Linked DNA regions of Oryctolagus cuniculus. The protein of the gene in region 4 interacts with the protein of the main gene of each other region in a pairwise test. Links are inferred from orthologs where the notes say so. Each region holds a gene or a part of one and is shown on either strand. Other genes may lie near its edges.

The links. The genes of interacting proteins can lie anywhere in the genome.
Region 1: the proteins of ATXN1 (region 4) and METTL17 interact in binary tests that used the Homo sapiens proteins (3 or more experiments, as listed by UniProt). The link is inferred for Oryctolagus cuniculus from reciprocal best matches to the Homo sapiens genes ATXN1 and METTL17.
Region 2: the proteins of ATXN1 (region 4) and PRRC2B interact in binary tests that used the Homo sapiens proteins (3 or more experiments, as listed by UniProt). The link is inferred for Oryctolagus cuniculus from reciprocal best matches to the Homo sapiens genes ATXN1 and PRRC2B.
Region 3: the proteins of ATXN1 (region 4) and LRSAM1 interact in binary tests that used the Homo sapiens proteins (3 or more experiments, as listed by UniProt). The link is inferred for Oryctolagus cuniculus from reciprocal best matches to the Homo sapiens genes ATXN1 and LRSAM1.
Region 5: the proteins of ATXN1 (region 4) and TENT5B interact in binary tests that used the Homo sapiens proteins (3 or more experiments, as listed by UniProt). The link is inferred for Oryctolagus cuniculus from reciprocal best matches to the Homo sapiens genes ATXN1 and TENT5B.
Region 6: the proteins of ATXN1 (region 4) and ANP32A interact in binary tests that used the Homo sapiens proteins (3 or more experiments, as listed by UniProt). The link is inferred for Oryctolagus cuniculus from reciprocal best matches to the Homo sapiens genes ATXN1 and ANP32A.

Annotation. Positions count from the first base shown.
Region 1 is NC_091443.1:53,913,034-53,917,892, reverse strand, and holds the start of METTL17 (ribosome assembly protein METTL17, mitochondrial), read left to right. Parts: upstream 1-1,928; 5' UTR 1,929-2,005; coding exon 2,006-2,086; intron 2,087-2,239; coding exon 2,240-2,393; intron 2,394-2,482; coding exon 2,483-2,617; intron 2,618-3,711; coding exon 3,712-3,793; intron 3,794-4,017; coding exon 4,018-4,099; intron 4,100-4,439; coding exon 4,440-4,513; intron 4,514-4,859. UniProt on the Homo sapiens protein: Mitochondrial ribosome (mitoribosome) assembly factor. Binds at the interface of the head and body domains of the mitochondrial small ribosomal subunit (mt-SSU), occluding the mRNA channel and preventing compaction of the head domain towards the body.
Region 2 is NC_091432.1:233,878,196-233,882,875, forward strand, and holds the start of PRRC2B (protein PRRC2B), read left to right. Parts: upstream 1-1,749; 5' UTR 1,750-1,999; intron 2,000-2,871; exon of another isoform or gene 2,872-2,921; intron 2,922-4,680.
Region 3 is NC_091432.1:230,975,570-230,980,337, forward strand, and holds the start of LRSAM1 (E3 ubiquitin-protein ligase LRSAM1), read left to right. Parts: upstream 1-1,837; 5' UTR 1,838-1,934; exon of another isoform or gene 1,935-1,944; intron 1,945-1,967; exon of another isoform or gene 1,968-2,678; intron 2,679-2,749; exon of another isoform or gene 2,750-2,758; 5' UTR 2,759-2,871; intron 2,872-3,471; 5' UTR 3,472-3,530; coding exon 3,531-3,602; intron 3,603-3,819; coding exon 3,820-3,876; intron 3,877-4,273; coding exon 4,274-4,318; intron 4,319-4,768. Other genes in the region: RPL12 (large ribosomal subunit protein uL11), read right to left, coding at 11-97, 496-577, 720-818, 1,198-1,271, 1,643-1,679.
Region 4 is NC_091436.1:143,606,014-143,610,130, reverse strand, and holds part of ATXN1 (ataxin-1), read left to right. Parts: intron 1-3,469; coding exon 3,470-4,000; 3' UTR 4,001-4,117. UniProt on the Homo sapiens protein: Chromatin-binding factor that repress Notch signaling in the absence of Notch intracellular domain by acting as a CBF1 corepressor. Binds to the HEY promoter and might assist, along with NCOR2, RBPJ-mediated repression. Binds RNA in vitro.
Region 5 is NC_091438.1:144,514,056-144,518,825, forward strand, and holds the start of TENT5B (terminal nucleotidyltransferase 5B), read left to right. Parts: upstream 1-1,839; 5' UTR 1,840-2,043; coding exon 2,044-2,310; intron 2,311-4,770. UniProt on the Homo sapiens protein: Catalyzes the transfer of one adenosine molecule from an ATP to an mRNA poly(A) tail bearing a 3'-OH terminal group in an ATP hydrolysis-dependent manner.
Region 6 is NC_091443.1:91,522,588-91,527,224, reverse strand, and holds the start of ANP32A (acidic leucine-rich nuclear phosphoprotein 32 family member A), read left to right. Parts: upstream 1-1,706; 5' UTR 1,707-1,783; coding exon 1,784-1,837; intron 1,838-3,855; exon of another isoform or gene 3,856-3,995; intron 3,996-4,637. UniProt on the Homo sapiens protein: Multifunctional protein that is involved in the regulation of many processes including tumor suppression, apoptosis, cell cycle progression or transcription. Promotes apoptosis by favouring the activation of caspase-9/CASP9 and allowing apoptosome formation.

The DNA of each region.
Region 1 (4,859 bases), on a different chromosome or scaffold from region 4:
CAGTCCTGGTTGCTCCACTTCCAATACAGCTCCCTACTAATGTCCTGGAAAAAGCAGCAGAGGATGGCCCAAGTACTGGGCCCCTGCACCATGCAGGGAACCTGGAAGGCACTCCTGGCTCCTGCCTGGCCCACCCCTGGCAAATGCAGCCATCTGGGAAGTGATCCAGCTCCTTAGACTATGAGACTTGAGAAGCCAGGCATTTTATTTCTATGTTCTACTACTTCTCTAGTAGAACACAGAGCTGATGTATAAGGTATATTTTTATCCTGCCAATAAAAGTACCACAAAAGATGAAACCAAGTGTTGCAGCAGAACCAAACTCAAAGAGGAAAAAGGCACACCAAAAGAAAGGTAAGCCTGAACAGGAGGAGAATAATGAAACACCTGAAGCCTACTTCTAAAGCATTTCGATTATAAAGGAAAGATCTCCTTTATTGGAATCAAATCATGTTAACCTAACAAATCAGACATTTAAGTCTTCAGCTGACACAGTTCCCCATGGTACACCATAATTATCATATTTGGACTCTTGCCATAACAGCAAAGGAAGAACTTCTACCCATCCTGTCACTAGACTTCTATCCCAGCAGAGTAAGGATGGACCTTTGCTACAGATATCAAGAGTTTACGGCACAGTAAGCTTTTTAGTGTTACATGCTAACACCTCCAAACACTTAGCATAAAGTTAACTAACTTGTGCCCCAACCACCAACAATATGGGGTATAGCATATTGTGTAAAAATGAAATCAGTGTTAAACTAGCTGTCACCTAACAAGATTTGTGATCTCAGGGGCCGGCACTATGGCACAGCGGGTTAAAGCCCTGGCCTGAAGCACCGGCATCCCATATGGGCCCCAGTTCTAGTACTGGTTGCTCCCCTTCCCATCCAGCTCTCTGCTATGCCCTGGGAAAGCCGTACAAGATGGCCCAAGTCCTTGGGCTCCTGAACGAACCCCTGTGGGAGACTCAGAAGAAGCTCCTGGATCCTGGCTTCAGATCGGGGCAGCTCTGACCGTTGCAGTCGTCTGGGGAATGAACCAGCGGATGGAAGACCTCCCTCTCAGCCTCTACCTCTCTCTGTAACTCTTTCAAATAAATAAAATAAATCTTTAAAAAAAATTGTGATCTTGCACATATTTAACCATTAGAAGTCTCACTTTCCTCAAGTGCAAAATGGGGCTGACAGCAGGATATGCCTTGGTAGGAACTAGATTACATAGAAGGATTTTCTTCCTTAATTTTGAAAATTTATTTTTAAACACAGAGAGAGAATCTCCTGTTGATTCACTCCTCAAATCCCAGCAACAGCAGGGGTGAAGCCAAGCCTAAGTCAGGGACTGGTCATTTAACCCGGGTCCCCTACGTGACAGGGACCCGAGGACTTGGGCCATCACCTGCTGCCTAGCAGGGTGTGCACCAGCAAGAAACTGGAATGCGGAACCCAGGAACTCTGATATGGGATGCTGACTTCCCAACAGACCCCAAGGAGAAGTTCCTAGCACATTACCTAGCATGTGGGCGTTCTCAGCAAGCGTTAGCGTTAGCTTATTGCTAACTGACGAGAAACTGACAACTAATTAAACTGTTAACTAAATTATTAATTTACTACCTTTAGTAGTTTAAATCTGGTTTCCTCACCTTTTCATTACTGCATTCTCCGGTTCACAGAGGAAAACAACTCCAGATTCAGTTCTACAGGGAGAAAAGCAACCAGATTTTGACAGCCGAAAGCCCGCCTCCGTCCCTCATGCCCCGCCCCCTCAATTTCGGGCTCTGCAGCACCCCCTTTCCGCCGATCAGGTCGGACCTGACTTCCAAGTCCCGCCCACGAACGGCTTCCGCCGCGAGTAGATTTACATATCGACTGCTTATTGGCTACTAATGAGCACTCCTTCTTCTCATTGGTTGATGCTGTCTCGAGCGAAATCCCGGAGGAAGTTCCGCGCGTCGTTGGGAGCTGAGGGTCACTTTCGTTTCTGTTTCCGGTTCGCCTGCGAAGGCATGGCGGCTGCGTCGGGAAAGAGGTTGCCCTCGATATTGGGCAGATGGCGCCGCGGGCTTCGAATGGCCCCCCAGTCCCGGGTGAGTACCTACTTTCTCTGCTCCCGAAGAAGCTCTGGGACCCTAGAGACAGCTGCGCTCCAAGAAGGAGCTGTTTGGCAGCCGCTTCCTTTAATTGAGAGCCCTCAGTCTTCCTTTGTGGCTGGCACCCAGCTTTCCTTTCTCGGCTTCCAGGCGCTGGCGGCCCTTGTTCGCGGCGTGAGTCAGGTAGATAACAAGTCCGATTTTCTGGGGAAGAAGCCTCACCGTCGGCACCCTGGCATCCTACGTCTGCCGTGCGTGCAACTGCCACAGGCACTGGCTGACGCCGCCCAGCTACTGCTACTCCGTAAGTAACGGCGGGAAAGGGGTATCCGAGGAGAAAAAGAAATGGGCCTTTGCACACAGGTAATTCTGCTTTTCATCTCTGGCCTCCAGAGAACGCAGTGCCCAATGTGGAGAAGCATGTGCAAGCACTGACCAATTATCTCTGGAGCCGACACTTGCCCGTAGAACCTGAGGAGCTACAAAGACGGGCTGTGAGTCTGGAGAAAAAGTTCCTGGAAAACGCAGGTAGGATTGAAGACTGATGAAAGATTAGGCCGGATTGAAACTGGGGAATGAAGTGCAAGAGATAATTTTACAGTCTCTCAAATAGATATTGGAGTTTCTTATTTGACTTTCCACCTTACTGGAAGATAGATTTGTTCCAGAGACTACCCTTGGGACGTGAGGAAGGGACAGAGTATGGCAATTGAAATCTGGATCCCAGTTGGGACCATCTACTTTTTTTTTTTTTTTTTTTTGACAGGCAGAGTGGATAGTGAGAAAGAGAGAGAGAAAGGTCTTCCTTTTGCCGTTGGTTCACCCTCCAACGGCCACTGTGGCCGGCGCACGGCGCTGATCCGAAGGCAGGAGCCAGGTGCTTCTCCTGGTCTCCCATGGGGTGCAGGGCCCAAGGACTTGGGCCATCCTCCACTGCACTCCTTGGCCACAGCAGAGAGCTGGCCTGGAAGAGGGGCAACCGGGACTAGAACCCGGTGTGCCGGCACCGCTAGGTGGAGGATTAGCCTATTGAGCCGCAGCGCTGGCCCATTCTTATTAAGGTGAAAGTCCCTGTAAAGTTAACTGCCTAATGCTGAAAACCTCTGGGATTGGAGAATACATGTAATATATTCACGGTTGTGAGCTCCTTCGTCTTACAGACCTTTTATTTATCTTGTGTCCCCTACACCCCCCACAATCTGGCTCTGAATGGGCATTTAGTACATACTTGCCAAACACAATAGAGTCCCTTTTCCACCTATAGGAACATTCAAGATGTCACAGTCTTAAGTTTTGGGGAAGTGAGGAAATCCACAAAATAATTGTCCTTCTCTTATCCTTTAAATCTAAATTGTATTTTCCTTTATTATAGAAAAAAATTTGTTGGGTAGGGTCAGTTAAGTTGAATATACTGCTGTTGGAGGCAAATACTATCTCATACACTCTAGGGGTGCTGGTGGTGATTATCCTTAGCTGAAATTTTTCTCTAGGTTTGGCTGCTTTCTTGAGCTTTGAGGCTTTTCCAGTGGGAGAGGGGAGAACCGGGAGGGCAGTGAATTAAATATTGGATCTGGTCTCTGTTCTCCTTAGGTCCTCACTTCCAGTCCTTGTTCTCACCGCAGACTCATCCCAGACAGAAGAAAAGCTTCGTGGAGCAGTGCTACATGCCCTGCGCAAAACCACCTACCATTGGCAAGAACTGAGGTGAGGGGGACTAGAAAACATGCAGAAGGAAGAAAAGTTGGACTTGAAAAGGAGAATGGAGCCGCACAATTGCATGATCAATGCAGTGTTTGAAAAAGTGCCTGAGTGATAGTGATCCCCAGGACCACTCTGCCCTGGGGAGTGAAAAGCTAAAGTGGAAGAGCCCTTTCCAAGATCTTATTTCCTCGCAATGGTCAGCAGGTGTGACTCTGATTTTTGTGCAGCTACAATGAAGGACTGAGCCTGGTGTATATGGCAGCGAGACTGGATGGTGGCTTCGCGGCAGTCTCCAGGGCATTCCATGAGGTGAAAAATCTGTGTCTAACTTGAACGCTCTTACCTGCTGTTCCCTTATTGATTCATAATGTAGTCTGTACGGTAGGGATTCTTAGGGTGCTGCGTAGGCTTTTATGCTTTGCTTTTTTTTTTTCTTTCTTTCTTAAAGTTCTCTTGTCCTGTAAAAGGATTCTGTGACCCAAGAAAGGTTCAGAACCACTATTTTAGGAGCTTGTTGTTAAGTGTTTATGTTGAATCTCAGAATGTGTTCACATCTTTCTTCCTCTGTCATAGTCCCCTAATTCATATTTACTAAGGCACTAAATAAGTATCTGCTTACCATACTGTGGGGTGTTGTGTGTTTCTCCAGATCCGAACTCGAATTCCAGAGTTTCAGCCACAAACCTTAATGGACTTTGGCTCGGGTACTGGCTCTGTCACCTGGTGAGTAACTTGCTTCATCCCTTTCTCAAGTCTAGTTCTAGAAGGCCACACTTAACACCAATCCAGTATCAAGAACTTGAAAAACCACAGGAAAAATAGGAAAGTTGAGAACCTAGAATGTTTCTTCTCTCCGATTAGGCGAGGCAGAAGAAGGTATATGGGTTAGGGCCAGGATTTAAAAGAAGTATCATAGTGAAAAAAGACCCATATCTGAAAAGTTTAAAAGCAAAGGAATAATAGTGTAGGGTGGCCGGCGCCGCGGCTCACTAGGCTAATCCTCCGCCTAGCGGCACCGGTACACCGGGTTCTAGTCCCGGTTGGGGCGCCGGATTCTGTCCTGGTTGCC
Region 2 (4,680 bases), on a different chromosome or scaffold from region 4:
ACAGAGAGTCTCCTTGTCTTAACCAGACTCCTGTTGCTGCCGTAACATAGCATCTACGGCACAGCTTTCTCAGTTCTGGGGCTCAGAAGTGGACGAATGGGCCAGAGGCGCTGGTTTCCTTCTGCGGCCCTGTTGTGCGGGCAGGGGGAGGCCAGGGGAGAGTCCATTCCCGGCCATCTCCAGCTTCCAGAGGCTGCCTGCATTCTTTGGTGTGAGGTCCTGCACCACCATTTCATTAATCAAAATGACCGCTTCTGGGGTGGGCGTTGTGACACAACAGGTTGGGCCACTGCTTGGTACGCCTGCATCCCGTGTCCGAGTGCCCGCGGGAGGCCTGGTTCCACTTCTGCTCCTGCTTCCTGCTGGTGCTCCTGGAAGGCAGCCGGTGGTGACCCGGACGGAGTCCCTGGTTCCTGGCTTCGGCCTGGCCCAGCCCTGGCTGCTGTAGCCATTTGAGGGAGTGAACCAGAGGATGGAAGACCTCTCTCTCTCTCTTTCTCTCTCTGTTGCTGTGTCTTTCAAGTAAATAAAATACTTTTTTTAAAAAATGACAACTTCTGGGGCCGGCGCCGTGGTTCACTTGGTTAATCCTCCGTCTGAGGCACCGGAATCCCATATGGGCGCCAGGTTCTAGTCCCAGCTGCTCCTCTTCCAGGCCAGCTCTCTGCTGTGGCCCGGGAGTGCAGTGGAGGACGGCCCAAGTGCTTGGGCCCTGCACCCGCATGGGAGACTGGGAAGAGGCACCTGGCTTCTGGCTTCGGATCGGCACAGCGCTGGCTGTGGCGGCCAATGGGGGAGTGAGCCAACGGAAGGAAGACCTTTCTCTCTGTCTCTCTCTTTGTCTATAACTCTACCTGTCAAAAAAAAAAAAAATAAAAAAATAAAAAAGACAACTTATTCATCAGACACATCTGCTCTGAGTCTGACCAACCTGCCTCCATCTTGGGATTCCAGGGGCCCAGCTAACCTGGGATTTAGTCCCCAGCCCAAGTCCTCAATTTAGTCACATCTGCAAAGTCCCCTGTGCCACCTAAGGTGACGCGTTCACAGGACCATGGATTAGGACTGGGGGTCCGTTATCACAGCTCTGCCCCAGGAAGCAATGCGAATTTGACGTTTAGAGAGGGGGTAATGTTGGAACGCTCCTCCAGGGCCCTGCTGTGTGGCACCCAACCCCAGGCCTGGGATCCACGGGGACACATGCCCTTCACCCGCATCCGCCGACTCTCAGCTCCCGGGGGCAAACGCCCCGAAGACCGAGGCGGGGGGGAGAGCTGGCACCAGGCCCCAGCTTTCTCTTTTTTGGTCTTCACTTTTAAATTTTCTTTTGTACCTGCTAAGAACTGTCTAGAAGCAGCAGAGGAGCCCAGCGCAGGCCTTTTGTTTTGCATGCCCCCCCACACCCGGGAGAGCCGGCCTCCCATACCCCGCATCCGAGAAGAGAGAAGGTACCCCCGCGGTGTCACCACCCCGCTTCTCCGCCTCCCGCACCGGCGGGCACGCAGCACAGACCGCACGCCTCCCGCACCGGCGGGGGCGGGCTCCGGCCCCTCCCCCCAACCCCCTTCCTCCTCCTCCTCCCCCCGGGCCCTGCCCCCACCCGCCCCGCAGCGCCCCGCACCGCCTCCCCAGGCTGCCGCTCGCGGGCGGCGCGGCAGGGGGCGCTGCGCGGGCCGAGCTGCGGGCGGCGGCGGCGGCGGCGGCGGCGGCGGGAGGAGGCGGCCGAGGAGGCGGGGGCGGCGGCAGCGGGGGGCGGGGAGCCGAGCGCGAGCGGAGGCGAGCGGCGAGACACGGGCTCCGAGGCGCCAGCGACGAGCGAGAGAGAGCGAGCGAGAGAGCGAGCGACGAGCGACGAGCGCGCCCGGGAGCGAGCGAGCGAGCGACAGCCGCGCCGCCGCCGCCGCCGCCGCGCAATCCGCCGCCATCCCGCCGCGCCCGCGCCCGACCGCCGCCCCGACCGCCATCGCCCTGCCCCGTCGCGCCCGCGGAACCAGACCAGGTGGGCCGGGGGCGCGGGGCGGCGCGGGCGGCCGCGGGCCGGGGGCGGCGGGCCGGCGGCGGCGGCGCTAAGATGGAGGCGCCGCGGCCCGGCCGCGCTTTGTCTCGGCGGCGGCGGCTGAGGGCCGCGCTTTGTCCGCGAGCGCCGAGGGGCCGCGGCCCGGGGGCGGCCGGGGGCCCGGCGCTCGCCATTGTGGTGGGGGGCGCCGCGCGGCCGCGGGCGGGCGGGTCCCCGGGCGTCGCGCGAGGCCCCGGGCGCCCCCCGGGGTCGCCCTTCCCGGGGTCGCCCTCGGAGCGGGGACGGCGTCCCGGCTCTGCGCCCCCAGCCCACCCCCACCTCGCTCACTTTTCCAAAAACGCCGAGGGTCGCGCCGCAGGCCGGGGGAGGGGCCGGGGGCCGCCGCGCGCCGCCCGAGTTGGGGGTCGGGGGCCCGCGGCCTGCGAGCCCGGGTGGCGGGGTCAGGGGCCGCCCCGGACGGCGGCCTGGGCTCGCAGGCGGGCACCACAGGGTTATTTTGAAAAAAACACTGAATGCTCTCTGGCTAAAAACGTTTAATAAACAGGATGTCGCTGCTCGGGGCCCGCCAGATGGCTTTTTTTTTTTTTTTCTGCCCCCCCCCCCACCTTAGTTTAAAAAAAAAAAAAAAAAGCCCAGCACTGTTGCAAGCGGTGGGCCTCTCCGGAGGGGCTGGCCTACGTGAGATGGGAAGGGATTTTTCCCTCCTTCCTCTCTCTGAATATCACGGGGCGGGGGCGGGGGCGGGGGCGGGGGTCGCAGCCCACCTGGAGGCGAGGAGAGGGGGTGTTTTCCTGGCGGCCGGCAGCTTGCAGCGAGCGGGAGAAGGGGGGCGGGGAGGCTCTCTGGAGCGTGTCATTTGCTAAATGGCTGCCTGAGAGAAACCTTTCAAGCCTTTGGGTTCCAGGTCTGTTTTTTATTTCTAGTTTTTGGGTTTTTTTTTTTTTTTGCTCCTCTGTCAGGTTTGTTGTGCATTTGGTGGTGCGTTCTGCATTATCATCCGGTTCGGGTTCTGTCACCACCTCTGAAGTCCTAGCACGGGTGGGGGTTCTTCCTCTCCAGCTGCAGCCGGTCAGCCATGTCTGTGCACAGCGCCTGGTGTCAGGGGACGCCGGGGAGGCCCCGGGCTCTGCGGGAGCAGTCCCGCTCCGGGCGCTGGGGCTGTGTTATGGAGAAAGGTAGGGGCGCCGTGCCCTCCACCTTGTCTGGCTGGGAGAGTGGCAGAAGGCCTGGGCACACAGCCGCTGCTCTGCTGGGTGGTGTTCCTTGTACGACTGTTTGCGTAGCTGCTGAGGTCCCAGGACAGATGCTAGCCACTGGGGTGCCACCCACGGCGCCAAGCCTGCTGTGGACGCCACGGCTGCTGGCCTAAGGCTCGGGCAGGGAGGAAGGAGTCCAGGGCACAAAACAGCACCGGGCCCTTTTTCCGGGCCAGGCAAAGCAGCGTTTGGAGCTGAGCGCTTGGTAGACCTGGGGGTGTGGTCATGGGTCCCTGTCTTTGGACCTGGGGTCCTGGTCCCTTCAAAGTCCAGTCCTGGAGCTGGGTTTAAGGCAGGGCCAGAGATCCCCCAGGACGACGCGCAGAGGCCCGAGGAGGCCCAGCCTTTCCGGGGTAACTGCTTTTCCCTGTGGGGGAGCCTCTGCTTGGACAGGCAAGCGTGTCTTTTGGAACCCGAGCCGGGGTCTGGTCCTCGCCGGTTCTCTCACGGGAGTCTCTGAGCCTTAGCGCCCGCATCTGAGATGGGAGTATTTGGGCCTGCCTGGGTGTCTGGAGGCTCTTGGGAGCTTCCGGTAGGATTTGTAACAAGGTGCTTCAGCCCACAGGACCGCAGGACGGGGATGGACAGCTACCTTGTTTTTGTTGGGTCCCTGGCCGTGTCCTCCAGGGCAGGTGGAACTGTGACCTCCCCGCTCCACATTGTGTGGCCAGCTAGTGTTTTGGTGTCGTGGTTGTATGTGCTACCGCCTGGGAACACCAGAATGGCTCAGAAGGGTTGGGGAATTCAGCCAGAATCTGGGTGTCTGCTGCCTGTTGGGCGGAGGCTGAGCCCGGCGTGGCCACCGTGAGGGCTGAGATCCAGGTTCCCTCTTGGTCAGCGTGTTGGTAAACAGCGCTGGACACGGGCTAGTTTGCAGCCTGGGGGAAGAGCTTGTTTGGTTCACTTTGGCTTTCCCACAGTCTGTTTTTTTGTCTAACTTCTGTGGCCCGCTCTCCGGGCCTCCTGTTATCCCTTCGCTTCCCTTCTGACTGACTGCTGTGTTAGCTGGCTGGATAGGGAGGGAGACAGCGGGCTGCCCCTCCCCCGGTGCCTGCATACCTGTGGATTGTAGTTGCCCACTGCTGACCGCGTGGCCCCTGTCCCCGCTGTTGTGGGGGCCTGCCATGGCCTACCGTGCCCTGAATCCCCCAGGCCCCAGTGGGCCACTTGGGTGAGAGGAAAGCCTAGGGAAGAGGGACCAGACATTCTTGGGAGAGTGGAATTTCAGGAATGGCAGGTCAGAACCGGTTCTGCCCAGCTCTGCTTTGGGCTTGGCCGAGGGACTTTTTTGCTAGGCCTCTGGTTGGCCTGTTAGCTCCTCCCCAGCCCCTTTTGAATTTCAGTTCCCTTTTTTCCCCAAAGGATTATTTTATTGTACTTTCAAGTGTGTGTGGTTTTTTCTTTTCT
Region 3 (4,768 bases), on a different chromosome or scaffold from region 4:
CTGCGCTTACCGGAGAGTTCTCTGGCGAGGGACCGGTGGCGCATCTGCCGGGCAATGTTGACGATCTCATCGAAGGTGATGTTGCCGCTGTGTTTGACTGCAGGAAGGACCAGGGGAAGCTCGGTCAGAGGCGGCCGCCTGTGAAACCTCACAAGGCCCCGCCAGCCGTGGCAGGCTGTTCCCGTGCTTTCGGCACAGAGTCATCCACGTGGAGGACAACCCTGTTTCCTAAGCCGGGGCTTCCTCTCAGCTCACCACTGGATTGCGCCAGCCAGCAGCATGGGCAGGCGCAGTGGCGGGTGGCTGGGACACAACCGAGCCTCCGCCGGAAGCCGGGCTGGGGCCAGTTAGGCGTCCAGAGGACTCACCCTCCACCCCCCGCACGCACGGGAAGCAGGACCTGCCCCACACTAGCTAACCCGTCACCTCCCACACTGTCACACAGGGGACACCCAGAGCCGCCGCTGGTCACAGACCCCTACACAAGGCACTCACTGTTCTTCTGCTTCTTCCGGTCCCGGGGCGGTTCCTTGAGGGCTTTGATGATGAGGGCCGAGGCCGAAGGCACCACCTCGATCTGCAGGACAGAGTCTTGTGTGAAAGAGCCCGACCCCACTGGACCCCACGCCGGTGAGCGTGGCGACGCGGCCACCCACGTGGGCTCCCAGAGCATGCCCAGCCCAGCCCAGCCTGGGGGCCGACAACACAGGCGGAAATACCTGGGCCTGCCGGTTCTGGATGGTCAGTTTCACTGTGATCCGCAGCCCCTTCCAGTCGCCGGTGGCCTTGGCAATGTCATCGCCAACCTTTTTGGGAGACTGTAGAGATATGGGCGGGTAATCAGCCTGTGCCCGAGCTGGGCCGCAGCCCCCAAACCTGCGCAGTACCGCCACCTCCCTCCGCCAGCGCCAGGGCAGCTGCACCTGCGCCCCATACCCCAGGTAGCACCAGGCTCCGGTGCGGCCACGCCTCGAAGGGCCCCTGCACCGAGGCGGCACGCGCGCAGCCCGAACCCGTTTGCGGAGGCTGGGCCCCAGCTGGCCACGGCAAGATGGCCCCTAGTGGCAGGAGCGACGCTCGGGTGCCCCACGGCATGAACGCGGTACAGAGTGGAGCCGGCCACGGCCCCCGCGAGCCCGCCACGCGCTGCCCACTGCGGGTCCGCCGCTCGGCTCCGGCCGCGCACCAAGTACTCACCAGGCCCAGGGGGCCGATCTTGGGGGCCAGGGCAGACGTGGCGCCGACCTCGCCGCCGGTGCACCGCAGGTATACTGGGGGGAGGGGGAGGAAAGCCGGGGCCTCAGTGGAGGGGCCGCGCCTCTCCGGGCTGCCCACCCGGCCGTCGCCTCTCCCCGACACAGCACCAGGAGCTCCCGGGGATCAAGGCCGGACACACGCTCCTCGCTCGGGCGCCGCAGCGGAGGCCGCCCGGAACCCACACGAGGGGCGCAGAGACCCCCGAAGACAAGCCTTACCCTAAGGCGTGCGGGCTGCAAAGCCGCCAGGGTCGTCCGCTCCTCCCTCCCCATCTACACGTGGGAAAGCCGAGGCCCGGGACGCGCAGCTTCGCGCACGGGAAAGGAGCGCGGCGGGGCGCGGGCAGCCTGCACCCCGCAGCCCCGCTCGCAGCGAGAGCACGCACCGACTTTGATCTCGTTGGGATCGAACTTGGGTGGCATGGTGGAGGCGCCTGGTGTCGGATGAACCCGGATTCGGGACGACCGAAGAGAGTTGCACCTTGGCCTCCTCCGAGCCGAATACCGAAAGGCCGGAAGTCCCGCCGACCGCACCGGATATAAGCAGGAAAATGCGGCTCTCGCGAGAGCTCCTGGCTCCGCCTAAAAAATCCTGGCTCCGCCTGGCGACGCCCTTGCCGCCATGTTTCTTGTGGGCAGGCTCCTGCGGCTGACTGCTGGAGAGCCGGGGGCATCGCGGTGAGCCGGGGTAAAGGATTCGGAAGCGGGGTTCGGGGCAGTTCGCCAACGGGGAGGCAGAGACGACAGGCTGCTCCCGAGATCCCGGGCCTCGCTGTTTGCTGTGCTCTCGTATCGTGAGGGTCACCCCGGGGTCCCTGTCACCGAAATCCAGAGACCTGCCCCTCCCCTGGGCGGTCCGCGCCCCCGTCCCGGGACCCGGGACTCCTCCTAACCCCTTCGTGGTGTGTGGGTCCGCTCAGCAGACCTAAGCCAGGTGCAACTCTTGCTCGTGCGAGCCCGGCGTCCCGGACTTGTCACTCCTGCTCTGCAGGACTTTTGGAGCTTTTGGGTTTCGGTCCCAGCTCCTGCCCCGGAGGAGCCGCAGCCACTGCTAAGCCCGGGGGTGACCCGCCTGTCCACCCACCCGGCCCGGTGACCGCAGCCGAGGGGAGGATGGGTGTGGCCCTCGCCCCCGGGCTGGACGCCAGCAGATGAGGGAGCGGCGTCGGGGCTGAGCTGGGAGGAGATGGGGAGCGGGGCGGGCAGGCTGCGGCAGACCCTGCCCGGTGCCGGCAGACTGGTGGGTTTGACCGGAGGGCCTGGGCGGGCCACCCCTGCGGCTGGCAGCCCGCACCCCTGTGGGCGGAGACCTCTGGCCTCCGCCGCTTCCCCAGCCGCGTCTGCTCCCCTAGCCCTCGGCCCTGGCTCCGTGTGTGCGGGACGGGCGGCGCTTTGTGGCCGTGGAGCGTTCGCTGTGTGCAGGTAGCGGCCGTGTGGGGGCCTCAGGTGTGTGAACTCACTGGGAAGCCGGTGTCGGTGACATTATCGCTCAGGCTCCGCAGGTGAGGAAGCCGTGAGCCACGGTGACACAGCAGGTGGCTGGCCGAGCCTGGATCCCTACCAGCCTGGTGCTTGCTTCCTGGCGGGTGGCTGCCCCCGGCACGGATATTTGCAGGTACTGGGCAGGGCCCCTGCGGGCAGTGGGCACCAACTCCTGGTCCAGGACCCCAGCGCCAAGCAGGTGGCAAACCCCTGAGCATCAGGTCGTGGAAGCCCAGGGTTCCAGGCTGCAGACCCACATCCCAGAACCTGCTGAGCGTGTTTCTCCACCATCAGCAGGGCCCTGGTGAGGGTCCCATGGAGTGATGACTGTGAGGGCGGCCAGGCGCCTAAGGGTCGCCCCTGAATGTTGATTCAACTCCGAGATCCCTCTGGCTGTGACGTAGTTGAGCCCCCCAGAGTCATGGCTGGCTCCAGTCTGGTTCTGCCGTTCTAGCTTGGAGGAGCCGGAAGTGACCCCAGTCTGTTAGGGTCCTCCGGGAGAATCCTGAGGAAGTGTGGAGGCCCGGCCGGGGTCCCACAGTGGGTCCCTGGCGAACGTGGGCCCACACCCGGATCACATGGCTTGCCGCGTGCCCCTTCCGCCCCAGCCGGCCACTGTCTGAGTCCTGGGCACCTGCAGCGTGGGCTCAGGGAACTGGTGGATGAGACAGGCGGTACCGTAGGCTGGGGCCACCTGTCCACCTGTCCTAGACGCTGGGGACAAACTCCGCAGGCCCCAGCTTCTCTCCTGTGCCCCAGCGCCCTGAAGATCCGCTCCGGGGAAAGGGGACGATGCCGCTCTTCTTCCGGAAGCGGAAACCCAGCGAGGAGGCTCGCAAGCGCCTGGAGTACCAGATGTGCCTGGTGAGGGACCCGGGTGCCCCGGCCCCAGCCCGGCTCAGCTGCGCGCTCCCTCCCCTCTGCCTCCCCAGCCCAGCCCTGGCCGCCGGGCGCACCTCCCGGTGGGATCGCCGGACTTCCTGGAGAACACGCGAGAATCCGCTCAGGGCGCCCCTTGCCGCTCCTTGCTTTTGGGCGGCCTGTTCACTCCCCAAGGATTTTTTCATCTCGGTACCCTTAGGCGAAGGAAGCTGGGGCGGATGACATCCTGGACATCTCGAAATGCGAGCTCTCGGAGGTAAAGTGAGGGCGCGTCTGGGCCGTGCATGGGAACGGCCCTGCTCTCTCGGACCCCGGGTCTCCGGCAAGGGTCTCAGGGGAGGGAGGGGCTCCCGGAAGGAGACGCAGCCTTAGACCTCCGGGTCTGAAAGAGCTCACGCCATCTTCTGTTTTCAGCTGGGTCTCCAAGGCCCGCCGTTTCCCTCGGGGCTGGCAGAGCAGGGATGCACAGCTGCCCCTGGGGCCTGAGGAGGCGGGGGCGGGGACAGGGTCCCTCTGCTAGCTGAGTGCAGCAGGCCTGGCCACACCCCCGCCAGCCCGGCCAGCGCACGCCCCGGCCCGCCCCGCCCGGGAAGCCCCCCGCGGGAGGGAGGCCACCGCGGAGGGAGGCGCTTACCCTTCCTTATCTCACTTAGATTCCGTTCGGGGCCTTTGCAACCTGCAAAGTTCTCCAGAAGAAGGTGAGCAGGGATTCCTTCTTTTAAAGATTTATTTACGTATTTGAAAGGCGGAGTTACAGAGAAGCAGAGAGAGAGAGAGAGAGAGAGAGAGAGAGAGAGAGAGAGAGAGAGAGAGGTCTTCCATCCACTGGTTCACTCCCCAATTGGCCGCAATGGCGGGAGCTGGGCTGATCTGAAGCCAGGAGCCAGGAGCTTCTTCCGGGTCTCCCACGTGGGTGCAGGGTCCCAAGGACTTGGGCCATCTTCTATTGCTTTCCCAGGGCACAGCAGAGAGCTGGATCGGAAGTGGAGCAGCCGGGACTAGAACCGGCGCCCACACATAAGGGATGCAGACACCACAGGCGGGGCGGGGCGGGGGGCGGGGCGGGGGTGCTTAGCCCGCGGGCCACAGCGCAGGAGCAGGGACTTCTTTCCAGAGAGTGGTGTACTGCTCCTCCGCTCCTTGGAAAC
Region 4 (4,117 bases):
ACACTCCATGTCCATTCCATGGAAATTTATTACTTTCCACAGTTGTATTAGTATTTAATGGTTTATGAGTAGGTATAATGCAAGTGTATGAAGTTCAGTGGACATTTTCACTATTGTATAGAGCCGATGCTTATTTGGATTTACCCACATAGCTCCCGTTTCCTTGCTCTTCATTTCTCCCTGCATCTACAAACCTCTCTCTAGATTCTTTGTGGGTTTTTTTTTTTTTCCTTCTGAAAGCTTACTCTAGTATTTTCTGTAGAGCAGTTCTGTTGCTGGTGAGTTCCCTTAATTACTGTTTGTCTGAAACGTCTTTATTTTGCCTTCATTCTTGAAGAAGCTTTGTGCTCTGTATAGAATGCTTGATTGGCAACTCTGTTACCTCAGCACTTTAAAGATATTCCATTGTCTTCCGGCTCCCATTATTTTTGTTGACGGAGAGTGTGAATGTAATTGTTACTGATTTGAGGTAATGTCTGTTTGATCTGGAGGCTTTTAAGATTTTTCTTTCCTGTCTCTGGCTTAGAGCAGTTTAACTATAACCTGCTTGGGTGAGGATATTTCCTCACTCTTCTTTCTTGGGGCTAAGTCTTCTTGAGTTTGTGACTTCCCTCTTGTTAGTCTGGGAAAATTCAAGTATTAGTTCTCTTTCCTCCTAGGATTCAAATTGTGCATCTATTAGACCTTCTCAATGTATCTTCTGTCTCTTAGGCTCTCCTCTGAATTAGCCCCCCCCCTTTTTTTGTACCTTTGATTCATTTTTTGTAGTTTCTTCTAAAGCTCTTAATCTAGTTCAGAATCCAATTACAGAACCCAGTTCACTAATTCTTTCTTCAACTGTGTCTATTCAGCTGGAAAATTATCTTGATCTTAGTGAATATAGTGCTTTCATTCTAGAGTGTCCAGAAATATTTTAAAAATAAATTAGACTTGGGGCAGGCATAACGGGTAAAGCCGCTGGCTGCAGTGCCGGCATCCTGTATGGATGCCAGTTCAAGTCCCGGCTGCTCCACTTCCGATCCAGCTCTCTGCTATGGCCTTGGGAAAGCAATGGAAGATGGTCCAAGTTCTTGGTCCCCTGCACCCCCGTGGGAAACCTGGAAGAAGCTCCTGGCTTCAGATTGGCCCAGCTCCAGCCATTGCAGCCATCTGGGGGTGTGAACCAGTAGATGGATAGAAGACCTCTCTCTCTCTTTCTTTCTCTTTCTCTCTCTCTCTCTCTGCCTTTCAAATAAATAAATATATCATTTAAAAAATTAAGATTCTAGTTTTCTCCCCACTCCTCAAGCTTGTGTTTCATCTCCTGAAATATTGTAAGCAGGGTCATTTTTAAGTCTCTGGTGATTACCAGAAGCCCCTGTGGGTCTGTTCTTATGATCAGATGTTTTGTCTTTATTAGTTTTGCTTCTCTCTTGGTCTCCTCATTCTTCCTCCCTTTTCAAAATTGAATGGTAATGTAGTATTTGCAACAGTGTGGAAATAATTCAAGAGCTGAATCCAGTGTTAGAGACTGAGATGATTAAGATTTGACTTCAGACCTTGGAAGGCCTATCCACTTCTGATGCACCCTTACTTTTAAGGCATAGTGTTTGGGATCAGAGGTTAAAAATCGGGGTTCGGGGCCGGTGCTGTGGCACAGTGGGTTAATGTCCTGGCCTGAAGCGCCCGGCATCCCATATAGGCGCCAGTTCTAGTCCCGGTTGCTCCACTTCCAATCCAGCTCTCTGCTGTGGCCTGGGAAAGCAGTGGAGGATGGCCCAAGTGCTTGGGCCCCTGCACCCAAGTTGGAGACCCAGAAGAAGCTCCTGGCTCCTGGCTCCTGGCTTCAGATTGGCGCAGCTCTGGCCATTGTGGGCATCTGGGGAGTGAACCAGTAGATGGAAGACTTTCTCTCTGTCTCTACCTCTCTCTGTAACTCTGTCTTTCAAATAAATAAAATAAATCTTAAAAAAAAAGCGGGGTTCACCAAAGATCACCGTCCCTTGGTGTACCCTGCACTGCATTACACACACACACAAAATGCTATTGAGATTCCCAGAAGCCCACTTAATCTTATAACTGCTCTACTTTGAAATATTCAAAGTTGGCTTGGAACACCACCAGGTTCAAATCTGTGGGCTATCATATCCTTTTCTGGTTTGACACAGTTAAGTTTTTTACTGTCTTATTTCTGTCCAGTGCCTTTAAACAGTGTTTTTTTAATTATTTATTCATTTATTTATTTGCTTGAAAGTTACACAGAGAGAGTGAGAGACAGACAGATCGTCATCTGCTGGTTCACTCCTGAGATGGCTGCAATGGCTGGGGCTGAGCCAGGCTGAAGCCAGGAGCTTCTTCTGGGTCTCCCAAATGGGTGGCAGGGGCCTGAACCCTTGATCCACCCTCCACTGCTTTTTCTAGGCCATTAGCAGGGAGTTGGATCAGAAGTGGAGCAGCTGGGACTCATACTGGCACCAACATGGCATGCTGGCATCAACACCACAACACTGGCCCTGATAAAAATGCTTTTTAACATTTTCTTCAGAATTTTTAATTTTGTTGTTTTTATGGTATTTTTGTTGTTGTTGTTGACAGCTTCCAGTTTTCCTTAGTAGGAAGCTTGTTCCAAAATTGCCTAGTCTAATACATCTCAAACAGCCATTGAAAATTGACTTTTTAAACTACTTCATTGCTCTCTCTCTAAATTTTTTATAATGTTGAATAAATTTAATTTCATGAGAATTAAACTCTTAAAAGCATCGGGTGCCTTTCAGACTTTGGCTATTTTGCAAATACCCATCCCGTACCCTCTCCTTGCCTTTGTTTGTGATACTTAAATGTCTCCTTGTAGCCCCACCTCTGGCATGGAGCAGGATTGGAAGCAGAGCCACCAGCCCACACACTCGTGCTCCTATGAGAGCCCAGCATTGCCACCGGCGGCTGAACCCTGCTGTACCACAATGCTGACCCCCAGCTGACTTGTTTTAACAGAGACCAGGGATAGAGCTAATGCTAAGTGAAGTATTTGGATACTGAATGGACCTTTTCACTGGACCGTTTTCTGCATTGGCTCCTGCCCAGCTTCTCTATGTAGTAAACGCAGATACAACAGGCAGCAAAGGGCCTCATTGTGTTGTGTTGCTAGGGAAGGGAAGTTTGTTAGTGGAGTCTAATTTATTAACATGCAGCCTGTGTGTGTGTGTGTGAGTGGGGGAGGAAGGAAGGAAGGAAGGAAGGAAGGAAGGAAGGAAGGAAGGAAGGAAGGAAGGAAGGAAGGAAGGGAAGGAAGGGAAGGAAGGGAAGGAAGGGAAGGAAGGGAAGGAAGGGAAGGAAGGGAAGGAAGGGAAGGAAGGGAAGGAAGGGAAGGAAGGGAAGGAAGGGAAGGAAGGGAAGGAAGGGAAGGAAGGGAAGGAAGGGAAGGAAGGAAATCATACAGAGCTCTCACTGGTTTCCCTCCTGTCTGCCTCTCTGTCTCTCCCTGTTCCCACAGGTCAGCGTGGAAGTCTTGGTCGAGTATCCTTTTTTTGTGTTTGGACAGGGCTGGTCGTCCTGCTGCCCGGAGAGAACCAGCCAGCTCTTTGATCTGCCGTGTTCCAGACTCTCAGTAGGTGACGTCTGCATCTCGCTCACCCTCAAGAACGCCAAGAATGGCTCTGTTAAAAAGGGCCAGCCCGCAGATGCTGCCAGTGTCCTGCTGAAGCGCTCAAAGACCGACAGCCTGGCGGGCAGCAGACACAGGTACGCCGAGCAGGAGAACGGGCTCAATCAGGGAAGCGCTCAGATGCTGTCTGAGAACGGTGAACTGAAGTTTCCAGAGAAGATGGGCTTGCCCGCAGCACCCTTCTTCACGAAAGTAGAACCCAGCAGGCCCGCGGCCGCGAGGAAGAGGAGGTGGTCGGCGCCGGAGACCCGCAAACTGGAGAAGTCGGAGGACGAGCCGCCTTTGACTCTTCCCAAGCCTTCTCTGATTCCTCAGGAGGTCAAGATTTGCATCGAGGGCCGGTCTAACGTGGGCAAGTAGAGGCAGAGCGGACGAGGCGCCGCGGCCGTCCCGTGCCCTTCCTTCGTATCCAGATTACTGTACTGTAGGCTAAATAACACAGTATTTACATGTTATCCTCTTACTTTAGATTTCTGT
Region 5 (4,770 bases), on a different chromosome or scaffold from region 4:
ATGAATGGATGGATCTTGTGGGTGGGGCCGGAGCTGTGCCAAGCACAACTTTGTGATCTGTGCCAAGTCTTCCAAGAGGAGTGGTTGCAAAATTGGGCTCTGGAGTCAGGAGACCTGGACTCGAGCCCCAGACTGCCAAGTAGTGGTTTGTGTGACCTTGGGGACATCACTTGACCTGCCTAAGCCTGTGTTTCTTTAGTTGTAAGCTGGGCACAATGACCCCACACACTGAGGTGTGCACTAGGAACTGGAGGTCACGTATGTAAACGAGCTTGTGCGTAGCAGGAATTCAGCAAGTGTTCCCGTCTGTTTTCCCTCTTCTGCTGAGGCACGGAAGTGGGGGTAGCAGACCACCTGGACCTTTCTCCTCGTTAACCTCAGGGAGATGTGCTGGGTCCAACGAAGATTTCTATGTCTGTTTTATTTATTTGTTTGTTTGTTTACTTATTTATTTAAGAGGTAGAGTTTCAGATAGAGAGAGGGAGAGACAGAGAGAAAGGTCTTCCATCCGCTGGGTCACTCCCCAGCTGGAGCTGAGCTGATGTGAAGCCAGGGGCCAGAGCTTCTTCCAGGTCCCCCATGCAGGTGCAGGGGCCCAAGCACTTGGGCCATCTTCTACTGCTTTCCCAGGCCATAGCAGAGAGCTGGATCGGAAGAGGAGCAGCCAGGACTTGAACTGGTGTCCATATGGGGTGCCGGTGCCACAGATGGAGTCTTAACCCACTAGGCCACAGTGCCCCTCTATAAACTTCTTAGCAGCCGACTGCACTGAGGCCTGGAAGGGACTGGTCCAAGACCACTGAGCCAAGCAGGGGAGCAAGCAGTAGGTCCCCTCCCGGAAAGCCAGAGCCAGGGGCTGCTTAGCCCAAGAGTCGGCCTCCCCAGGTCCACTCCCATGTCTGTCAGGGTCAGGCTGGTGACCTCAGGTTTACCACTTCCAGATCTTGGTTTCCCCGTTTGTAAAGTGGCCCTATGACTGCTGCCCAGGCTGCCTCACAGGAGAACGTTGGGAGGATCAGATTCAATTTGATACGTTATTGAGAATATATTTAAGAAAAAATTATTACAGTGATGAATCGGATAGCTTTAGTTTCTGAATGTTTGCCACACACGTTTATTTAAAATCAGGAGGGAAAGAGATGAATTTAAAGCCATAATGAGGCTGCACTCTCCCGCCTCTGTAAGGTGGGAGAGGAAGCCAGGCTCACGGAGTGCCCATCCTCCAGCCCCGAAAAAGCCCCGCGTCGGCTTAGGTGCAGCTGAAAGGGTCTGCCGGTGCTACAGCCTTGGTCCAGAACTTGAGGGGACGCTAGGGAAGCTGTACCGGCTCCCGGAGCGCATCTACCCCGCCTGCACCTGCACAGCGACACCAGCCAGGCTGCTGTGTGAACGGGCCACGCAAGAGAGGGCGTTAGAAAGCGCCTCGCAGAATTCAGCAAGCGGCGCCGTCTCTCCGGGCTTCTGGAAAAGAGCGGACGACCAGGACCGGCCCGAGTGATTTTCTCAGTTCCTTCTGGAATTTCTCAGCGATCCGACCCTTCCACAAACTCCACAACTCCCTTTCCTCCCGCCTGCCTCTGGAGGGCGCTTTCCCTTTAAGTTCAGGCCCACCCAGGCCAACGACAAAGCACAAAAATTCTTTAAAGACCAAAGGAGGGAATTCAGCGTGTGAAGGGGGCGGGGCATGGGCGTGCCTTCCAGCCAATCGGAATCGCCTTGGGAAACACTGACTCACGTGCAAAGTTCTGCTGGCCAATGGCAAGGGCATCAAGAGGCGGGGCAGCTCCCTCTACGTGACAGCAGCGCGGACCAATAGGCATGTGGCCCGCGGCCTATAAGAGTCAGCTGGGCAGGGGACCGCGGGCTTTAGGGTCGGTGGGTCGTCGCTGTCGGAGGTGTGCCCCGGGTCTGCCTCGCCGTCGCTGCCGCCCCGTCCCTGCATCTCCGCCCCCCGCCTTGGTCCCAGCACAGCCGCTCCCCCCGCCCGCCTCCCCTTAATCACCCCCCGGTTTCTGCCGTCGGGGCTCCGGGGCTGGGCGAACGATGCTGTCAGAGAGCGGAGCTGAGAGCCGAGACGGGGCGGCTGCGCAGGTGGGGACGGCTACGGCCTCAGCGGTGGCTACGGCCGCCCCGGCTGGCGGCGGCCCCGACCCAGAGACCTCTTCGGCCTCGGCCTCCCTCGGCCGGCACCTGAGCAGGCTGAGTTGGCCACAGGTGAAGCGGCTGGACGCACTCCTGAGCGAGCCGATTCCCATTCACGGGCGCGGTAACTTCCCCACGCTGAGCGTGCAGCCCCGGCAGATCGTGCAGGTGAGAGGGCGCCTGGCGGGCGCGGGTAGGGGGGTCTGGGGGCTCTTGGGCTGGGAGGCACCCGGAGTCTGGTCAGTTCTCTGGGCAGCTCGGGAAACTGAGGAACGGGGCTGGGGCTGTAAACCTTGCACAGAACGTGTTGATGGTAGACCAGACCTCTTCCTCCTGCACCTCCTCCTCCTCATTTGGCTTTCCCTGTCCCCCCTCCCCTCCAATGGAACCCCGCGGGCCCTGGCTGGGGGAGAGGACGAGAACGGGGAGGGACTTGGCGGGAAGAAGAGCCCTGCCTGCGAGGACAGAAGATGCCAGGCAGCCCTGGGTGGGTAGGTGTGCACGCGTGGGCGAAACAGCTTTCAGTCCCCAGCCTCGCCTCCCACCCCCTTCACGGGCTCAAGATTCCAGGATCAGAATCTCGGTGTGTTCCCATAGAACCCCTGCCTAGGTGGGAAAGTCCAGAAATCCCCACGGGGGCTCCCTGTCTCCTGGCTGGGGTTGTGAGTCCAGGGCAGCCCAGCCCTGAGGGCGACGTCCGTATTTGTCTCTCTCCCCAACGGAAGCGCGGCAAAACCCAGGTCTCAGAGCGGCACCCCCGCGTTTCTCCTGGGGAACCAGAGAAGGGAATTCTGCCAGCTCTTTCCTATCTTCAGACTCCAGCTCTTCCCCTACCTGACTCTCCATGACCCCAAATCTCTCTTTCCTCTGCGCAGCCCAGGCACGGTCACGCTCTGCCGTGCCAGAGTTAGATCATTATTGAACCCATTTTACAGCCGAGGCCTCCGGGGCGGTAGTGAGCTACCTACAATGGCCTAATAAGGTGAAAATCAAACCCTGCGACTCGGGTCTTCCTGGGACTAGGCTGCTGCAGACTCAGGGTTTGCCCAAGCCCTCCTCCCCCTCCCCAGCTTTCAAGCTCACCTTCTAGGTGTTAGGGGAGTCCTTGATGGAAGGAGCCAGGAAATCCCTCGACAACCCCTGGGTGTGCTGCCAGCCAGGGCATCTACCTTCTGGGGAGGCAGCCAAGCAAGCCAGGTGAAGCAGACCGTGCCCCTGCCTCCGCTACCTTAGCCTCCAGTAGGGGGGAGGGCTGTGTAAAGGGGGGTTTCCTCATCCGCCCTCCCCAGGAACAAGGAACCCAACCGGAGGGGGTGGAGGCAGGGGCAGATTCCCCGGGCCTGACTCACCGCGGCCCAGTGCTGCTTGCAGAGGCATTCCTCGGCTGCCCGCTGTCATCTGGCTGATGAGCAAACCGGCCAAGGCTTTTTCTCCCCAGGACAGACTGTGGCATGGGGGACCAGGAAGGTGGAGCCCAGCGTGGGAGCCCCTTCTGCAGGGACACGGGTGCCCTCGGAGGAGAGGTCCTTGTGCCTTTCACAATGATCCAAACTGCTTTTATCAGTGCTTGCCAGGCGCCAGGCCCTGTTGGGGACACCAAGGGCACAGATGTGATTAGGCCCTCATAGCCAGGTCCATAGGCGCCGGCTCCGTGTGATCGCGGTGGTGTCCCCACCTCCTCCTGGACAAGGCTCAGGGGGACCACAGAATGGCGATCTGTCACTCTGCAGAGATTTCAGAGCTGGACTAGGCGGTCAGGCACCTGCGTTCAGGGCTTGGGCCAGTGTCAGCGTCCTTCACTGTCGTCATCTGCGCAGTGGGGACAGCTCCAGCACCCTGTCTGCTTCCAGAAGCCAAGGAAACAGCTGCCTCCACTGGGGAGAAAGCCTGTCTCCCGGCAGGAACCCGAGGCTGTCGGGGTGGGGGTGGGGAGGAAGGAGTGCAGATGGGGGCATCACACAGGAGGAACCCGAGGCTGTTGGGATGGGGGTGGGGAGGAAGGAGTGCAGATGGGGGCATCACGCGGGCTGGGGGGTGGCAGCAGTACTGATCGTTGCCTTGGGGCTTCTCAGCACTGGAAGTTTTCTTCTCAACCCCACGAGGCTTTGCCTATGGCAACAATTACAGCAGCTGGAGATGCTGTTCTTGCTGACACTGGGCTAAGGGACCCACCCTGGAGGCCCCCTGCCTACAGCTCTGGGAAGCTTGGTTCTAACTAGGCTTGGCTACTCATTGGCTCTGTGACCTTGGGTAAGTCCTCTGCCTTAAGCTGAGCTCCCCAGTTGCAGCCAGCGGCTGCTCTGGGTGTGAGTTTCACAAGCCTACCGGCTGACCACCTGCCAGTCTCCCTCCCTGCAGGTCTCACAGCAGCCCAGAGGAGATGGTTTGGGGGAGGGCCTTGGCACAGGAGAAAGGAGGGTGCAGTCCCTGCCCCCTCTGTGACTGGAAAGTCTGATTCAGGAGGCGCCAAGCTGCCCTGCAGTCCTGGGGTGTGGTGGTATCTGGGGATCACCTGCCAAACTGGCTGCAGTCACACCTGGGAAAGAGACAACAGCCGCTGGCTGGCTGACACAGCTGCCCATGGCCCTGATGCAGGGGGTTAACAAGGGTGCTACTACCTACTCACCA
Region 6 (4,637 bases), on a different chromosome or scaffold from region 4:
AGAGTGGTAATTTGGGCTCCCTCCTGTCTTAAAGAGAATACAATTAAAAGTAAATAAATCCGAATGACACAAATAGCCCTCAATAAGATTAGCAGCGTCTGAGGCCGAGGGAGATGCCAGCTAAGTCAACAATTATACTATTTATATCCAGATGAAATAAAACTATGACTTAAGGTGTTTTTTTTTTTTTTAATTTTGCATTTCTCAGCTACTCAGAGTAACCATGCTCACCTTTCAAACTGCACTTGTTATTTTCGCTGAAAAAAAAAGGCACGGAGGAAAACGCTTATGAGCCGCAGCCCTTCAGGCCTGCAATCCAGCAGGTTGCAGTATTAAGATGCTCCGGCTTCCTGCCCCGTGTGCGCGTTCAGTGTTTTATTTACGCTGTCACTTTGTATTTCCTCCTAAACTTTAAGAATGAAACTGTATCGGTGTTATGTAACCATGTTTTACATTTCTCCCTCCATCGAACCCACGTCTGGGGGGGGGGGGGAGTAAACAATGTATCCAATATCCAAAAAGGGGGGCGGGAAACCAGCTCGGGGTCCGTGCTGGGGGCACCGGGGTGTGCGGAGAAACCAACGCGCCGACCCAGAGGGGCAGGCCGACGCGGACGCCGCCAAGTCGGGAACCCGCTGGGGAACCGGGCTGAGAGGTCCCTCAAAACTTCCCCCCCAAAATAATCAGGCGGCAGCCCACGGAGACGCCTGGGCCAAGCGTTCCGACGATGCCGCCCTGCAAAGCCGCAGCGCACGGCGCGCGGCTCCCAGCCGCACGGGCCTCGGCCCAGGACTCCGGGCGGGACCCGCGCCTGCCTCTCGCCCCGGCCACCCCTGCAGACGTGCGGCGGCCGCTCTCAGGGCACGGTCTTCACCCACTCCAGGCCCGGGCGCCCCGGGGCGAGCTGACCTGACGCGACAGCCACAAGGAAGCCTGCCTCTGAGGAGACCGCCGTGGACCCGCGGTGAGTCACGCCGGGGTGCAGGCCGCGGGCGGCGGCCGCACCGAGGGGAAGGGGCGCGCGGGCCGGGAGCCGCAGCCCGGGGCTCCCGGCGCGACCCTGGGGACCCCGGCCCAGGGCCGCCCCCTCCCCCAGCGCACCCCGACCCCTCCCGCGTCCCCGGGGCCTCCCCCCGCCCCAGCCACGCCGGGCCGCCCGCCTCCTTCCGCAACCCCGCGGTGTGCCGCGCGGGCGGGCCCCGGGCAGCCCTGGCGCAGCCCGCGGCGCGGCAGGGACCCCGACCCGACCCCTCCGGCCGCGCCCCTCCCCCTCGTGTAACGCACCTGCGGCCCCGCCCCCGGCCAAACGCGGAGGCGGCGGCGGGCTGGCGAGGCCAGGCGGCTCGGCCCCGGAGGCACAGTCACCTTCCCTTCCCCCGCCATTCCGCCCACCCCCCTCGCTCAGCCAGGGAGCAGCCGCCGCGCTCCTCCGCCGCCCCGAAATCTAAAGGGGTCCGTCTCCGGCACCACAACCAAATGGCTGAGCCTCCCTGGCCGGCTGCGCAGCCCGCCCATTGGGCCCTTCCCCCCCCGCCGCCGCCGCCATTGGCTGTTGCTCGGAGACCCTCGGCGGCGATTGGCCCAGGCCGCTGCCGTTCGTCCGCGGGGCCGCAGATCCCGCCTCCACGGCGATCAGGTTAGTGTGCGCCGCGGGTGCTGGGGGCTCGAGAACCGAGCGGAGCTGGTTGAGCCTTCAAAGTCCTAAAACGCGCGGCCGTGGGTCCGGGGTTTATTGATTGAATTCCGCCGGCGCGGGAGCCTCTGCAGAGAGAGAGCGCGAGAGATGGACATGAACAAACGGATTCATTTAGAGCTGCGGAACAGGACGCCCTCTGATGTGAGCATTTGCCAAAAATATCCCCGGCGGTCCATTCTCCTACTTTGTGTGTGCGTGTGTGTGTGTGTGTGTGCGCGCGTGTGTATGTGCGTGTGCGCGCGCGCGCTGGAGGGGGAGGCACTTCTTCCTCGGGGGCGTGGGGCCGGGGGCCGCAGAGCCCCCCGAGCCGCTGCCCTTGCTGGGTGACTACCTGTGCGTGTGCGCCCGCGTGTGCGAGGTGCGTGCGAGTGTGCACCGGCGGGGCGGCGGGCGCACGCGTGCGGGCCGCGGGAGCCTCGGGGCCCGCGGCTCCCGCGCCTCGGCCGGGGCAGGGATGGCCGCGGGGGGCGGCGGCGAGGGGCTGCGCGCCGGGCTCCGCGGCCCGGGGGAGGGGGCTCGGGGCCGCCGCGCCGCCCCCGCGCCCCGGCCCCCTCGCGCACAATAAGTTTTGGGCGCCGCGAGTCCGGTGTAGTTTGCGGTCCGCGGGGGGCCGCGGCCCGGGGCAGGGGGCCGCCGCGGAGTTGGGGGCGGCTCGAGTTTAAAGTGCGTCTCGGTGGCTTCGCAGTGATGAGGCGAGAGACGGGGGAGCCATATTTGTAACTTTGTAGTGTTCGTGAACGCGCCCTTTCTCTCCCTCCCTCCCTTCCTCTCCTCTTTCTCCCTCACTCTTTCCACACCACCTTCGGGCCAGATGCTGATGTTTCTCCCTCTCCTTCCGAGGGGAGGGTAGATTGGCAGGAGGGGGAGGGATTCTCGACGGCGCCCAGGCGCCCGGGGCCCCCGCGCCTCCCCAAGCTCCCGCCGCCGCCGCAAGTTGCCCAAAGGCGCCGCGTCCCGGTGCCCCCTCGCCCCGGCCCCTGCCAGCCCTGGACTGTGGCGGGCTCCTTGGCGGCCCCAGACTCGGGAACGGGCACGGGAAACTTTGTCAGGACGCGAGCTGCCGGAGCTGCCGCCGAGCTGGGCGGCGCGGGCCCACGACCGTGCGGGCACGGCGCGCACGCAGCCCCGGGCCGAGGAGTTTGCCTGCCCGTGGCCGGCACCAGCTGGGCGGCGGCGGCGGCGGCGGGACCCCGGCCAAGGGACACTTACGCGGGTGGGAGCCGGGGGTGGGGCCGGAGCGCACCCCAAGGAGGGGAAGGCGAGGCGGGCGGCTCGGACGCTCGCTTTTATTCCTGGCTCCCGCTCGCTCTCACACTTGGGTGTTCCGGCCGAGTTGGCGGCTGGGCTCGGAGACCCCGGCGGGACCCTCGGAGGCCGGGGAGCCGCAGAGTTGGGACTCGGGGCGGCACGGAGCGCGGACCGGTCGCCCCTCCGGCCCGTGCCACGCGAGTCCCTGGCGGAGGCAGGCCTTGCTTCCTCTTACCCTAGTTCCTCCCCCGAACCGGAGTGAGACTTTTGAAAACAAGATCCTTTTTGTCGTCCCCCTCCCCCCTCCCGCCTGCAGCGGCGGACGGTGGACGTGTGCGATGCCTCCGGCGCGCGGGGCGGAGGGAGGGGGCGCCCCGGCCGGGCGGGAGTCGCCGCGGAGCGTCCACCGCGCCAGCCTGCCTCCGGCCCGCGTCGCCCCGGCCGGGCCCGGGAGCCGAGCCTTTGGGGGCTGGGTGTGGTGATGGGGGAGGGGGCGCGGCCGCGGTCTTCCCGCGTACTTTCCGGAAAGCCCCCGGGGCTCGAAGGGGCCGGGGTCTCGGCCGGCCCGAGCCGCACCGCCGGCCGCCTCGGGAGCGCGACGGGCAAGCGGGTCGAACCGGCTTTAAACTTCGCGAGTGTGCGCGGGGGAGGGCGCGCGGCGCGCCGGGCGGGGAGGCTGCTCGCACGGCGCCCCCTCGCCCGCCAGCCTGGCGGCCCGCACGCCGGCCCCTGCCTCCGGGCGGGGTGGGGCGCGGGCGGCGGGGGAGGGGGCGAGCGCCGGCGAGCGAGGGACAAAAGGGGTGGGGGAGGAGAACCGGGTTTTTGCGGAGGCTCGGGAGACAAACAGCTCCTGGGGAGCGCCCCTGCGCCCTCCCCGCCGCGCCGCCCCCGGGGGCCCCCCACACACCCACCTTCGGAACCTCTCCCAACTCGGATCCGGGGCTGGTGGCCACGCCGCGACGCCGAACTAGGACGTGCAGCCATGTTCCCCGGTCTCGCGCGGCCCGCCCCGCCCCTCCCCCCACGGCGGGGCCGGCGCGGCGCGCGGGGCTCGGAATGCGGGCTCCGGCTCCATGCGGCGCGGGGCGCGGGCGGGCGCGGGGCGCCGTGCGCGCGGGGCGGCGCGCCGGGCGGCGCGCCGGGCGGGCCTTCGGGCTCCCGGAGCCGATTCCGAGCTCCAGGTGTTTTATTTGTGATGATGATTTTTTTTTTTTAACTGCGAGAGCCGCCCCGGGGCCGGGCCCGAAGGGCGCCGAGGCGTTCTTGGTGGGGAGGCGGGGGCAGCCGCCAGGGCTCTGCGCGCCTGTGGCACGACCGCTGGGCGCCGGGCTGCCATTTTGTCACCGTGGCTGTTGTCGCCGGGGGTTGGGGGGGGGGAGTGAAGTCTTGCGCCATCGCCTCGACGGCCTCCGGCGCGGAGGCGGCCTTGGAGCTGGCCCCAGGGCCCCCTACTTGTGCGCGGGGCTCGACTGGGGTCTGCACCCAGCGCCGGCGGCCCGAGGCGTCGCAGCGGCGTTGCGCGGGGAGGGCCTCGCGCCGCCAGGGCCGCTCCCCCACCCGCAGATCCCCGCCCTCTCCGCCTCTCTCCAGGATTTGGCCGATCCTACTGCAGGCGTAGACGTGGTTAAATGTAGCCTTAAGGACGATCCGATCGCCCGGCTGTTTGCTCCTTGGGCGGAAGTGATGGGGCGAG